2 linked regions of the Styela clava genome follow. The protein of the gene in region 1 purifies or fractionates together with the protein of each later gene. This does not show direct contact. Links are inferred from orthologs where the notes say so. Each region holds a gene or a part of one and is shown on either strand. Other genes may lie near its edges.

Evidence for each region.
Region 2: the proteins of sugar phosphate exchanger 3-like (region 1) and all-trans retinoic acid-induced differentiation factor-like purify together in Homo sapiens (affinity purification with mass spectrometry; 3 studies listed by BioGRID and IntAct, counting the BioPlex papers as one, with this or other methods). This does not show direct contact. The link is inferred for Styela clava from reciprocal best matches to the Homo sapiens genes SLC37A3 and ATRAID.

Annotation. Positions count from the first base shown.
Region 1 is NC_135260.1:15,858,730-15,865,476, reverse strand, and holds sugar phosphate exchanger 3-like, read right to left. Parts: upstream 2,814-6,747; 5' UTR 2,696-2,813; coding exon 1,124-2,695; 3' UTR 671-1,123; downstream 1-670. Other genes in the region: vacuolar fusion protein CCZ1 homolog, read right to left, coding at 434-670. UniProt on the Homo sapiens protein: Unlike the other SLC37 members, lacks glucose-6-phosphate antiporter activity.
Region 2 is NC_135257.1:1,748,876-1,756,565, reverse strand, and holds all-trans retinoic acid-induced differentiation factor-like, read right to left. Parts: upstream 3,006-7,690; 5' UTR 2,925-3,005; coding exon 2,862-2,924; intron 2,631-2,861; coding exon 2,497-2,630; intron 2,116-2,496; coding exon 2,044-2,115; intron 1,702-2,043; coding exon 1,630-1,701; intron 1,147-1,629; coding exon 998-1,146; intron 541-997; coding exon 341-540; 3' UTR 80-340; downstream 1-79. Other genes in the region: programmed cell death protein 5-like, read right to left, coding at 3,676-4,047. UniProt on the Homo sapiens protein: Promotes osteoblast cell differentiation and terminal mineralization. Plays a role in inducing the cell cycle arrest via inhibiting CCND1 expression in all-trans-retinoic acid (ATRA) signal pathway.

The DNA of each region.
Region 1 (6,747 bases):
CTATCTCCCGCCAGGTACAGAATTATTCACTAAACCTGTACATACACATATAGCCTGATGAGATTTACTATTACTGAATGATCAAATGCCTAAACTTTCAAATCCCGGAAAAGCAGATTTGGATTAAGGTGTGCATGAGTGGCAATCATCTACAACAGGGGTGGGCGACCTTTAATACAGGAGGGCCGGCCAGATGCAAATGACTGGGTGAAACCGCACACTGCACCTTTATTTAACATAGGCTATCTAATAGTTGAAGGCACAAAAAACAGATTAAACTAAATGAAAAACTCGTTTCACAGGCCACACAATTTTTCTTTGCGGGCCGCATTTGACCTGCGGGCCACAGGTTGCACACACCCAATCTAGACTACAATATTTAAAAATATTAATTACTGTAAATACCATAATAAACATGTCATGTAATACTAACCTGGCCTTCTTTCGGTCCATAAGTAGGGTTATATATTAGAAAAGAGGACAACTTTGCTGTTGCCATATTACAGCGGTTCAATGATAACAAATCATTAATCGTAGTATTATATATACAATATTTAAATATTGAAGAACTGAAATGAATGTTGAGTACCAATATGAATTCAAGAAATAAAAATTGCACTTTAATAATATGAGGAAAAATAAAAATACTATCAGTCAAAATAGGAATCATAACATCAGTTTCACAATAGAGTTGAACGAATGAAGAAAACAAACAAATTATTCGACTCTGGGAAAGGGTTATTATATACCGTGAATAGTAAATATAGTAGTCTCTATTTTATACATAACATTAATCAAAGCGTGATACAAAGTCTTGCTATATAGAAATGACCAATTTATTAATTTGGCAATTAAATCCATAATATTCAACTCATAATCCCCAACATGAAAAGGCATACATTATACACAGTAACAACACAATACAGAAAAAAAACATCCAAAATATGGCAAGATCCTTATACATGCGGTAGAGCGCAGAGGCTATAGGTTATCAAATCACATTTTTATTGACACATTATTAGTATTATAAGTCACAAATATCACTACATAAACATACAGTATATATTATACACAAAACCAAGATCTTTTTAATACATAACATACAAAAGCAATACAAGCTACACTAGTTTTCATCAATTCTTCGATAGCTTGAACGAAATGAGAGTAACCTTTCAAATAAACGATTGGCACAAGCAGAATGCTTCACAAAATCATTATAAAAAATTGGAAAAAGGCATATCAAGCTTGTTACATTGGAAATAATAAACAAATTGAAAACCCAATTCCAACCATAATTTGATTGTATAACTGCTACAAGGTATTGACCAATTGCTGCACCAAGGCTTCCAGTTCCATCTATAATCCCTGTTACAGTTGCTAGAGAGTGTTCACCAACAGCTTCCCGTTTTGCGATATCTACAGCAATTGCAGAAGATAAAATATTTGATACACCATTGATTAAGAATCCAACGATGGACATCAATATACTGTTAATGACAACATCGTTTGGCGATGATTTATATCCCCACAATGCAAAAGGCGAACCAAGAAGCATGAAAAATAAAACTAAGCTTCGAGTTTTGAAAACATCTGACAGTACACCTGCAATAATTCCACCAGCTATTCCTCCAACATCATACCATGTGGAGACACTAGATGCAAGTGAATCATCCCACTGGAAATGATTGGTTAAATAATACGGTAGCCAGAAAAGAAATGCATAGTTGACTAATTTCAAGCACGCGAAGCTGAGAGAATAAGGTATAACTCCAGGTAAGAATAGAGCATTTAGAAAAGACAATGGTTGAGATTCCTTTTGATGACTATTAGACAACATTGCAATTTCAGTGTTTTCATTTTCCAATGTGGTATTTGTAAGTGCATTGTCTTTATCTACAGTCTCCAAAATTGCATTAGTAGGTACATTCATGTCGTCTTCAGAATTGAAATCATCTTCAAGAGGTTGGGAATCTTCATCATCTAGAGTTCTTCTATCCAAAGATTCTGTCTCAACCGGTGGAGGAAGACCTACTTCAAGTGGTGTATTCACAAGGCCGAACACCACGACCAGTCCTCCACCCAACATCATAACAGATATGGTAAGAAATGCATATTCATAACCATAATTAATAACTGAAGATGTGATGACATTTCCAATAACATTACCAACCGATGCACATGATGCCCAAATTCCAAACACAAGGCCTCTCCCAGATTTACCAAACCAATTGCCAACAACTGCGACACAAGTTGGCCAACCAACTGATTGTATAATTCCCTGTAAAATCCACATGGATATGTAAAATCCTTTATTGTAAAAGTGTAACATTTGAGTTAAAACTCCAAAACAAAATAAAAGTATGCCAGATAAAAACATTGCTATGGCCAATGCTTTTCGCAGTTCCACTCTGTCAGCAAGAAAGCTTGTAAAATACATTCCAATAGCATAGGAGACTAAAAATAAAGAATCCAAGAGCCCAAGAAAGGGTTCTGCTGATGCATAGCTTGAGAACAATTGTCTGTCCTCCCATATTTCTTCAGGCCTTGGGCAAGGCCATGATAAATTACATGATAGTGGAGTCCATTCTTTTGAAAATGAATCTTTAGAATCACTGTAAGCCTTTCTTGATGCATGAAATATTGTATACACACAATATGTTAGAACAAATGCCACAATTTGATGATGTGACCACATTTTGATACATTTATTAAATCAGTCAATGTCAGCAGAATTTTTGTTTCATGGTAATTCTATAATATATATACATTATTAACATTTATAATCTGTAATTAGTCAAATGCTGTAAACTAAACAATTTTATGATCCAGTTATGACTGTGAGAATAATAGGGATAAAAAAGTACTGAAAAAAAAAAGAATAAACCAAGAAGAATGATATGAATGTTCTGTAGGACACATGAAAAAAGTAAACTGAAGACTTCTAACGCTTCAGATTTATGCTCACTTTCTCAAATTTTTGTGATAGATTAGTTTATAAGTTGTAAGTGGAAACAGCCACCTTTCCATCTCCCATTACAGGAAGAGCCTTCGTGCAGTTGCAGGCATACCCGTTAACCGCCGTCGCATGGCGAGTGGTCCATGGCGAGTTAGCCTCCACCCCCCAAGAACCCCCATATAGCCTACTGCCATGGGCCATTGTCATATCGTGGTATCCGAACTAACCCTAGATGCGAGCTTTCTTCCGAGAGAGCTAGCTCGCCATGTCTATTTTCTTTTTATTTGTTGATCGACATCGCGAGTTCGAGAGAGAGAGAGAGGGCTAACTCGCCATGACTATTTGTTTATATTTGTTGAACGACATCACGAGTTCGAGAGGGCTAACTTGCCATGTCTATTTTTTTTATATTTGTTGATCGACATCGCGAGTTCGAGAGAGGGCTAACTCGCCATGTCTATTTTCTTTCATATAGACAATGTTTCATCCTTTATACCTATTCCTTTTGTCAATTCTTCCGATGAGACCGATCCTGTTTACGTCCTTTTTATTTACCTACAATTACAAATGAGCAAAAAGCTAACAATGACGTGTAATTGGAATATAAGCCGCCGCTCAGAGACACTTTTCCGCTCAGACAGATATTCAAGCATGATTGTAAACATTGCCTCGTTTTAGTAGGTTTGCGTCTTATTCGTCAGTTTTTAGTTGTGTTTCCAAAACATAGTTTTAAATCAAATACCTTAACTGCAATTATGTATTCTGAGGACCTTTAGTTTAGTTACAACAATAATCCAAAATTGATATCGCAAACGATGCGATAGACCAGGGCTACTCAACTGGCGGACCGCGGTCCGAATCCGGACCTTTCGAGTATTGTATTTGGACCGCACCTAATTATTTATTTTGAATCATTAGCCCCACTTTTTGAATTTTCTATTATAAAATGACTTTCATAGTTTTGAATATATACGAAAAGAACTATAACACCGTAATAAACAATTTTAATTTGCTACTAATCATTAGTCGGTCGAGGAAGTGCTCGTTTAAGGATGCCGAAATATCAGTTCTGGAAAGACCGGACCCAAATAATTTTGAAGTTTTGTTTGCGGACCTTCGATAAAAATAGTTGAGTAGCCCTGCGATAGACTACCTTAATATTAGCTATCAGCGCCACGTGGTTTATTGTTTTGAATAAAAATGAGTTTTAAACATGTGAGCCAATTTGTAAGCGCCAACTCTCCAAAACTATCCCATAAGCAACGTTAAAATTTTTGCAATGAAAATATGATCCATAACGGCGCTATGTTGTGTTTTTGGCTGACTAGGGCTGGGAATGGTTTACCGATTTCAGATGGTTAACGGTTATCAGTGGCAGCGCGTCAATAGGGCCAACCGGGGGCCGGGGCAATGCCCCGGTTATTTTCGGTATAATAAAAAATATTCGAAAAATACCTCAATATCGGTTGCACAGACTGTCTACACTAGCCATATTCCCCCGACATGGTTCATTTTTCGCTCGCAAAGCCTTCGCCGAACGTCGACGGGGCGACGCCGATTTTGCCCCGGTTGCTCATTGTATATCGTATTCTCTCTTTTATCTTCCACTCGCCGCGTTTATCTCGTTTATTTTCTGTTTCTTTTACTAAATCATCCGGGTCGATCGGGCTGTCGGGGCTAGCCCCGAAATTATGACGACACAATGCCGACGTTTCTTACAACAACGTGTTGACATATTCACGCATTCCTTCTCGTTCGTTGGTTGCTTGAAGAGTTGATAGTTTCCTCGCCTTCGTTTTTGTCGCTCGTTTCACTATTTGAATCAGTTAGACCCCTTTAGTCCATTTGCTTTCGATTTTCCACATTCCTTTTGAGCTCCTCACTTCTTTCCGGCTTCGCATTTCTTAGCCTTAGACCTCATAATGAATAAGGTTGATGCACTACTTCGCACTCCGTTTTCGCAGTTGCCGCTGGAACAAAAATTAGAGGTACAACGTCTTGGGCCTTATCAACCAAAAAATTGTTCACTGGAACAATCCCATGACGGAGAAAAGCGTCGGCGTACATTCTGCGCAGAAACTTGGTATAAAAAACACGAATGGTTGTGTTACAGCGAGGACAAAATGCACTTTTTTGTTTTTATTGCCTACTTTTTGCTACCGCCCGTGACTCACGTTGGTGTAAATTTGGTTTTAGAGATCTTAAACATCTTTCCGAGCGTGCCAAGGATCATCAATCTTCTATGGAGCATCTGGACAATGCAGTAAAATACCGAACATTCGGAAATGTTAATATTGCAGCGCGGTTTCTATTCGTCGGCACAACCAAAACGTCGAGAAAAACCGCCATGTTCTCGGTCGATTGATAGATGTTTTGAAGTTCATTGGTTGTCACGAGCTGTCCCTCCGTGGGCACGATGAACGGGCTGGCTCTTCTAATAGAGGGGTATTTTTGGATATGGTGGAATACACCGCATCCCTAGATACAGTATTGGGAGATCATCTTGATGCCGCAACTGTTTCGAAAGGGACATCTAAGGATATCCAAAATGATTTGCTCGACTCAATGTATAAAATTTATTTACAACATTTGGCTCTGGAAATTGAGAATTGCCAGTTCCTTTCGATTCAGTCTGACGAGACAACTGACATCACGTGCGTTTCCCAACTGGCTGTGATTTTTCGGTTTGTGAAAGATGGTAAACCTACCGAGAGATTTCACAGCTATGTACCAATCGTTGATCGCACGGCTTGCGGGATATCGGCTGTACTGAAAGAAGTGTTACAGCCTTACAACGCGAAGTCAAAATTGATAGCTCAAACTTATGACGGCGCGGCAGTCATGAGTGGGTCGAAACATGGTGTTCAAGTTTATATAAAAGAAGATTTTCCTCATGCGCATTTTTTACATTGTTATGCACACCAATTTAACCTCGTTATTAAAAAATATGTGTCTTGATACCCCTCTCATCCGTATATTTTTTGCAAATGTTTCGGGGTTTTCTTCATTTTTTTCCGTTTCGCCGAAGCGCTCTGACTTCCTTCGCCAGATATGTAGCCGCCGTCTCCCAACTTGTGCACCAACACGTTGGAACTTCCAATCAGGCGTGGTGCAGGGCGTGTCCAAAATTAAGTCTGAGCTCATTGAGTGTTTCAATGGCATTCAGAGCTCTCCGGTTTGGGACGAACGCTCTGTGAGGGAGGCGGCAGGTCTAAAGCGTCTGCTAGAAGATGGTGAGTTTTCATTTTTTCTCCACAATATTCTATCACGTGGATGTATTATACGGCGCATTGCAGTCAAGGCTAATGGGTGGCGCGTCTGTGCAGTCGTGTATTTCAGACTTCTGCGATGCTGTATCTCGTATCCGGGAAACAATAAAATACGACGACACATGGAGTGCTTCTTTACGCCGCGGGCAAACAACGCAGCGTTTGATTTTGTCTGCAAAGGAATGCTGTGACATTCTGGTGAATCAAATAGGCGATCGTCTGCGCACTGAACACCTTGCCGCGTTCTCTTTGATGAACCCCAAAAATTTTTCAAAATTTGCACGTCAATTTCCCATCCATTTGTTGGCTACTGTCTCCAAATTTTACCCCATGATAAACGTGGGTAAATTGGAAAATGAATTGCGATGTATATACACCAATCAAACTTTTTTGAACATCACATCAACTTGCGCGCTCTATGGGTTCCTCATAGATAACACTCTAGTAACTACCTTTGCGGCGTCTGCAAAATTTCTGGACATCATTTTGACGACGCCTATTTCTTCCGCCGACGCAGAGCGA
Region 2 (7,690 bases), on another chromosome or scaffold:
AATAAAGTGGAGGACCACATGTGGCCCACGGGCCTGGGCTTGCACCACCCTGTTCTAGATTCTCGGAATACTCGAGGGATACAATAAAACCACATTTGTTTATTTTTATAAAAAGCTCACAATAACGATAAAAATCGAAGCTCACAATAATGATAAAAATCAAACCATAAATATATTGCACAGTTATTAATTTGAGTATGACACTCTATAAAGTTGACATACAAATTATACAGTTCAGAATTAACTTGTTGCCCATGAGATACACGGTGTTAGCATATTTCTGCTCATTTTGCAGCCTTGAGTTGTTTGCGGGATAAAAATTCAGACCGTCTCAAGTTGACTATATCACATGCCTTCTTTGTGTGTACCACAAAATGGAGGATAAAAGTACAGTTGCAGCAGCTGTTCCAGCTAAAATAGGAAGCTTCAAGTCTGAATCAGTTTTTCTTAAACACTTGTAACCTCCCCAACCATGCTTGCAATCACATAAAAATTGTCCTGGTCCATTGTTAATACAATTTGAATTGTCTGGACATGTATCTGGAATGAAAAAAATCTGAAAATAAAGTATTTTACTTACTAACTTAGGCAGCAAGATGAAGACAACGTTACCAATATCACCATTGCCAATTAGGTCCCATCAACTTAAACGGACCAGAGCAGTGAGTCCAGGTGGCAGATTAGTGAAAATAAGCGAACAAAAGGCCAGTGGATTTCGTTAAACGAATGCTTTCAAGAATACAAATTCAGGTTATCATGTTGTCAACGTCAAGATCCAAACAAGTTCTTTTTGGGAGTTTTGTTTACTTAAGGCTCAAGATTAAAGTTAAGGCTACTGCATTTCAATTTCAAGAATCGGCCCCTTTTTAAAGTGACTGAATTTCATTTGCTATGGTCACACAAATTCGAGTAATTTTGATTTCACAGTGATCACTGTAAAATCCAATGCTTATAAGTTTTCCTTCAGTACATATTAATAACAAGAATTAAAACATACAATTATGATACTGCTTTAATAAGTTGCAGGTATTAGTTTGATTGATGCATTTTCTGTCATGCTTATCATCTTCAGTATTGTTCCAAGCTTGCCATGAACTGTTGAACCAATTCCATTGACTATTGCATTCAACATTTTTATCTACTGATCTGAAATTACCAAACAATGCATATTCATTTGCTCCACTGAATGCAATTATTCCAGGTAAGTTAAAAATTTGGTTTAAAATAAGAAAACACTTTCAATTGTATGTGACAGTACAGAAAGATGGTATCTTACCACCGGCACCTTCCTACTGTACAAACTTGACTAAACCACTTGATTTTTCACTGTAAACAAGGCTCAGGTACTATTAGGCAAAAGGGTACTACTACAGAATCTCTTTCCAGTTCGTTATTAACTAATTTATTGCACCCTGGGTGAAAAGAGTTGAATTGTGAGCCTTGCATGCATAATACGATAACAAAATAGCACAAGGAAACTGCATGTCATTGTAGTCTATCGAGAAAACTGTTGTCCATACCATGTTGACTGTTTTAATTGACTGAGCACTGAAAACGTTGGGACCACTGCACTATGCCATTTTGGTCCACCATAGTCGCGACACGAATGCAAAGCATACTGTTACTCACATTTGACAAAGTTTCTTCAGCCCGAGAAAACTTGTATTTTGAAACTTCAAATCTGGGTTGTTTGTAAGATTACTATAAAATAATGTATGCATATTGTTCACAAAAATTAATCACAACACAATGACTATAATATTGAGAGGGTCAAACACCTTGCATCACACTTTCATAAACATTATTTTGCAACAATCCTAATACAAGCAGTTTACAGTTTTCCTATCATTGTTGTGAACTGCTGGTCTGAGGAAGTAACACAACATTACATGAAAAAAAAATTGTTAAAGTGCTGGATTGATACAAGATATTTGAACCCCATAGTTACCTGATATTCACATCAAAGTTAGTCAAATACCACCCAAATCTCAAACAAGTGGACAATCTAAAATTCCGAATTAAATTAACAAAAGTGACTCTCACATTTTTGTAACTTCAGTATATTGATGAAACAATGTTTTGATGTTACGAAGCTTGCAGAAAGACAGATCAATACTAAAATAAAGAACATTTAAAGGATGAAAATATCTATTTCATAGGTTGTGGCACACTGGCTGAATATACAGTCTACTAACAAAAATGATTAATATAAATAAAACTGATACGGCACTGCAGATAATGACGATCTTCTGATGACAAAAACAAAGAAGCAAAATACACATATTGAATACAACATATCAAATTGAATATAAGCAGAGATGGAATTCAAAATTTTAAGAACAGGCGTTCTCTTCTGTATCGAGCCTATTAACAACGGGTCATTTCAGAAATCCATGCTGAAGTTATAACTCTGGAAAACAAGTTTGCTGATTATTATGAGATCACCAAAACAGGTTTACATAAACCTATGTTCAATATTAAGTTAAGGCAGCTCACCCGACAACATGTCCAGATGAGAAGTTCTCACAGCAATGTCCCTGAAGTCTCAGCATAGGATGTGAATTGCAATTGTCAACAAATGATCCATTAGGAGGGTATGGATCTGAGCATGATTGCAGGGAACAGACATCCTAAAGAGAAATATTCATGGGAATTGGTAAACACAATTTGTAATGTTTTAAAAAACTAAACAGAAGCATTTCATCAGATAACCGAAGATGATTTGAATTTGATAAATAATTTCATACTTGCTTAACCGGGCCTATACAAATATAAATATGTTTGAACACAAGAAAACTAATAGCTGAAGATTACAGCTCAATAAAAGTCATCACTAGCACAGTCGATAATAAGCATCTAACCTCATTATCTACCACTCCTTTTCCAAAGCTGATACAAATTCCAAGCCATACTAAGATTTTCATTGATATTACCTTAATAAGATTAATTTAGTGAAAAAATATATCAAGGCTAATAAAAATGGATAATAAGTTTTGATGAAAAAATTAACACACAGCTGATATTATTTAGCACTAAAATATCTCCTCAAAAAGCATTGTCTCCATCTTGTTATTGTATAAATAGCTTATTCGAATGTTTTCCAAAATAATAATTGTAAATACAAATTAACATTCTGATGCCTCTTGTTTCAAATATACATTGTTTCATAAATTCCCATTTTAGTAGAGCCCTAGATTAATAACTAGTTTTGCATTCTATCGGGAAAATTTAAAGGGAATAATAAACAAAATAAGAGTTACTATAGCATATTTGTAAACAGAATGGTGTGTATTTTCTATGACAGCTATCACTGGAATCTCGCATACCTTGGTTTGATTATAATTCAACCAAACATTGAACTGTCAGATTTTGCAATATACTTGAATAAGATCATTCTGGTCATACATTTCTCAAAGCATTATCTGTGACAAAAGGCATCAGAACCAATAAATCAAATCAACAATAATACAAAATCATAATTTTTATACAAAATATTCTAAAGGCAACTATTCTAATGAGTTAAAAAAAAATTTCGTCCTGTGTAGTGCTATGTAGTGAATAGTCATGCCAGAAACTCTGTACTTATGTCAAACTCTTAAAGCAATTCCACAACAAATAGTGATATTAAGTGGGGCTGAAGATTTATTTATACATGACCAAGCTTATGAAAAAAATTCAGTCTGAATCATCGGAATCCATTACTCTTCTTCTTTCGAATTTAACTTTTGTTCGCTGTTTTTTATCATTAATTTGTTCAAGAACTTTAACTAACTGCTGCTCCGTCATTTTTTCACCCAATTGTCCAGACCGGGCCATATTAATTAACATTCCTTCCAACTGCTTTGCTTTTTCAGGCTTTACAAGTGCAATACTGTTAAGACGAGCTCTTGCATCTTGCGTCAAAATTTGTGTAAGCATACCGTTAAGTTGCTCATCATACTTTTGTTTTGCTTCTGCTTGCTGTTTGGCTTGATTGGGATCACCAGCCTTCATTTGTAGTTCCTGCATTCGCTTATTACGAATTGCTGCCAAGTCTGCGTCTTCCATTATATTCACTCTGCAACCACACCATAAAAATTTGTCAACAATGATATTAGGATTAATATGAGGCCTGAAGCAGTAAAATATGAATGTAGGTTTATTTATTTGTCTTGATAAATACTAAATCAGAATAAAAAAATTGCATTTGAGACAGGTTCAAATGTACAACAAGATCTGAAGATCATATCAAGGTAAAACTCAAGTTGTCCAGGGTTAGCCCCTGAAAATATTAAATTTGAAATATCAAATACACAATTGTAATATCTGAATATAAACAACCAAGTGCCACATTCACCAATTTGGCAAATACAAGGAATGGTGTGCCATTAGAATTCGAAACATGTGGAGAACTACAGCACACTATCCAAATTCCAAGAATTTTCCTCCATTTGGCTCAATAAAACAAACACTCCGTCTCCATGTGTCTCACAAACGAGGGGCATCAGGGGCCATGACAGATGCTTCATATCGTGCCATGCTTGTTTCAAAAATAATCCAAATTAATCGCGGCCGTCACATGACCAAAATTGCCGTTTTTTGCTAAAAACTCTCGAATGCTACGTTAAAAAAATTTTTCCATCGGTAAATCGGATTATTTTTTCCCAAGGAATTCAATGATGACGTTACTAGATTGCGCTTTTTTGTAGTATTCTGCGCAACTTCATTATACTGTATTTTTACCGATATTGAGGGACAACAATGTCCAGACGTCTCCCAAAGGGAGGGTGTCTGATCATCTGTGAAATGGGTTTCTCTGAATCGGGACAATGTCACCCGATTTGTATAGTGTGCCGTACTGTGGAGTGGCAACCTTGAATCAATTCCCAATTGTGAAACACAAACAATTCGACACTTTTATATCAACAAGGAAGTGAAAATATGACCTCTCACCTTTACATGTAACATTTCGGTGAAAAACATATTAAAATCAATTTGAAATAAAGTGAACAATTCCTTACTATCCTAATTTGAAAAAATAAGCAGCAAATACTAGTTCATAAGAACATTAGTCTACAGCAGGGTTACCCAAGCCAAACTAAGGTCCATTGCAAATTTCCATTGAGCATTGCAGACGAATATCCATTGCTGTCAGAAAAGGCAATTAAAATTTTATTGCCTTTTGTAGCGACTTACATCTGTACATGTGTGCATGTGTGAGGCAGCATTTTCAGCTCTTACCAATATGATGACAAAACACAGGTCAACACTTGCCGTAGAGTCGGACCTACCAGTTTGCTTGTCACAAATTGCGCCGAGAATCGATAAATTGTGGTGCGAAAAGCAGCCTCATCCTTTACATTAATGCAGTACCGGTAATGTGGTTTATGATGTAAATCAGTGAATAAAACGTTTTCCCTCCTTGTTGGTTAGGCCCTGAGATTAATACAGTAATACAGTGATATGAGCAAATGGGGGTCCGTCAAAAATAGGATTCAAAAACAGGGGTCAGCCTCAGCGGCCCAAAAAATTTAGGAAACCCTGGTCTACAGTACTAAGAACATGCTGGAATGAAAATGTTCTATCTGAAGATAATCCTAGAATACCGGTATAGGTACCGTACCGCACTGATCTAGTACGGTACGGTACTATGGCAACAAACAGCTGGCTGAGCGCTAGTTCACTGAGCTTTTTATGTTACTACTGCACTGCGGGCCGTTATAATTTTATACTGCCAGCAAATACGGTACCAAACTGAATAAATTATCCAAATTTACTAATACCGGTAGGTATGCCTGCCGCCTTGAGACAGAACTAGAATACAGGTACGGTACCGTAGTCCATAGGTTCTCAAAGTGCTCCGTACGGAGCCCCGGGGCTCCGCGAGAGAAACCCAGGGGCTCCGCGAACTCTTCAAAATACTTTTTTTTTTTTTTTTCGTGCCAAATAAATTCCAATGCCAAACGGAATTTTCGTATTAATATTTTGGTATCAAATCATTTTATTATAAATATATAAATAGATATTTTTTTGTTTCCATGTTTTTGTTTATCATTTTTTAATTTAATCCCATTTCCCCCATACATATGAATAGTAAAAATCAAAATAAAGACAAAATTCATACCATTACCATGATGTCATTAATTTAATATAATCCAATATATGTCCAAAAAAGTTGAGTTAATCTACATGTAATCCACTCATCAGTTGGTTGAATATAATTTTAATTTACAGGTAATCAGTTTTTATTTTAATTTTTTAGTTAGCATGAAAAATACAAGAATACAAAAATTAGACAGAGAATATGGAAAAATCCACGCTTTCATATTGGGTTTTTCCCATTCGCCATCTATGTTTCATAGTCGATACATCTTCCTCTTATGAAAATGATGTACAGATAACATACTTTCAATAATTTTCAGAGTATGGTGTTGCATATAAACTTACATCATGATTGACCTATGTAAAAGATCATCCATGTGCTCATATAACAATAATTCATTTCTTTCGCTTTCTTTTAGTAAATTTAAAATCCCTACCAGTTTACACTTGAAAATTGAACGCATACTACTTTTCATTTTATCTATTTCATCATATTTTACTGAATTTCGATATTCCCAAATTGTTGATTTTCCGCATAATATTGCGATTAATTTTGATTTGCATTCCGAATCGTTTGCTATAATAGTATTTTGATTAATATCTATGCAACACCATTGCCAAAAATCAATAGACCAGTCACATTCTAAAAATAAATGACACACAGTTTCTTCAACATAATTTTCGCATAAGACACACATTCCTGGTTCATCAATGAACCAGTGTTTTATTTTGTCTCCAGTGGGCAACCCATTATGAATTAACTTCCAACATAACTCTTTATACTTGTTTCCAATATTTATTTTCCATATTTTATTCCAATTAATTGCCTTAGTTAGGTGAAATTTATTAAAGATGTATTCCTTATGGTTTTTCAAAAATGTATCATTTTTCTTACTTTGTAAAATCCTATAAATTTGATTAGTGGTCAAGTCTTTCGACCCATTGTACCTATCAATTAATATTCTTGTTTGACCAAATTCCCTATTCCTTGATAAAATCTCTCTCCATTCTATTGGAAGTGCTTCCCATATTTGCCGTAATTCATTTTTGCACTTATTTATCAAGCAGTTTTTTCTTAAAGTACTTATTGCAGAGTTTTCTAGCTGGGGGTACACTCTTTTGGAAATATCATATATTGTTTTGCCAAAGATATCACTAACAGTAATTATTTTTGCCTGAACCCAATTTGATTTAGCAGTTATTTCAATATTATTTCTATCTAATATTAGAGGATTGTGCCAAATTATTTCCTGTGATATTTCTGCTATATTTTGTGGTTGATTCCATTTTAAGCCAATTTGTTTGTATGAGTTGATTATACTAGTATAAAATTTCGGTATATGTATATTGGTTTCCAATTTAAAGTTCAAATACAAGCATTCTAAGTTACCTTTCGATAATACATCAAAATAGTTATTTACAAAATACTTTGCTCTCTGAGACCATGGATTATTACAACCTTCAAGCAATTTTAACACCCATTTTACCTGTAAAGCTTTAATTTGATTCCTAATGTTCATCATTTTCACCCCTCCTTCGAAAAATTCGCTACAGCTGATATTTCTATTAATCATTTGTGCTTCTTCAAAATACTGACTCAAAATTTTGT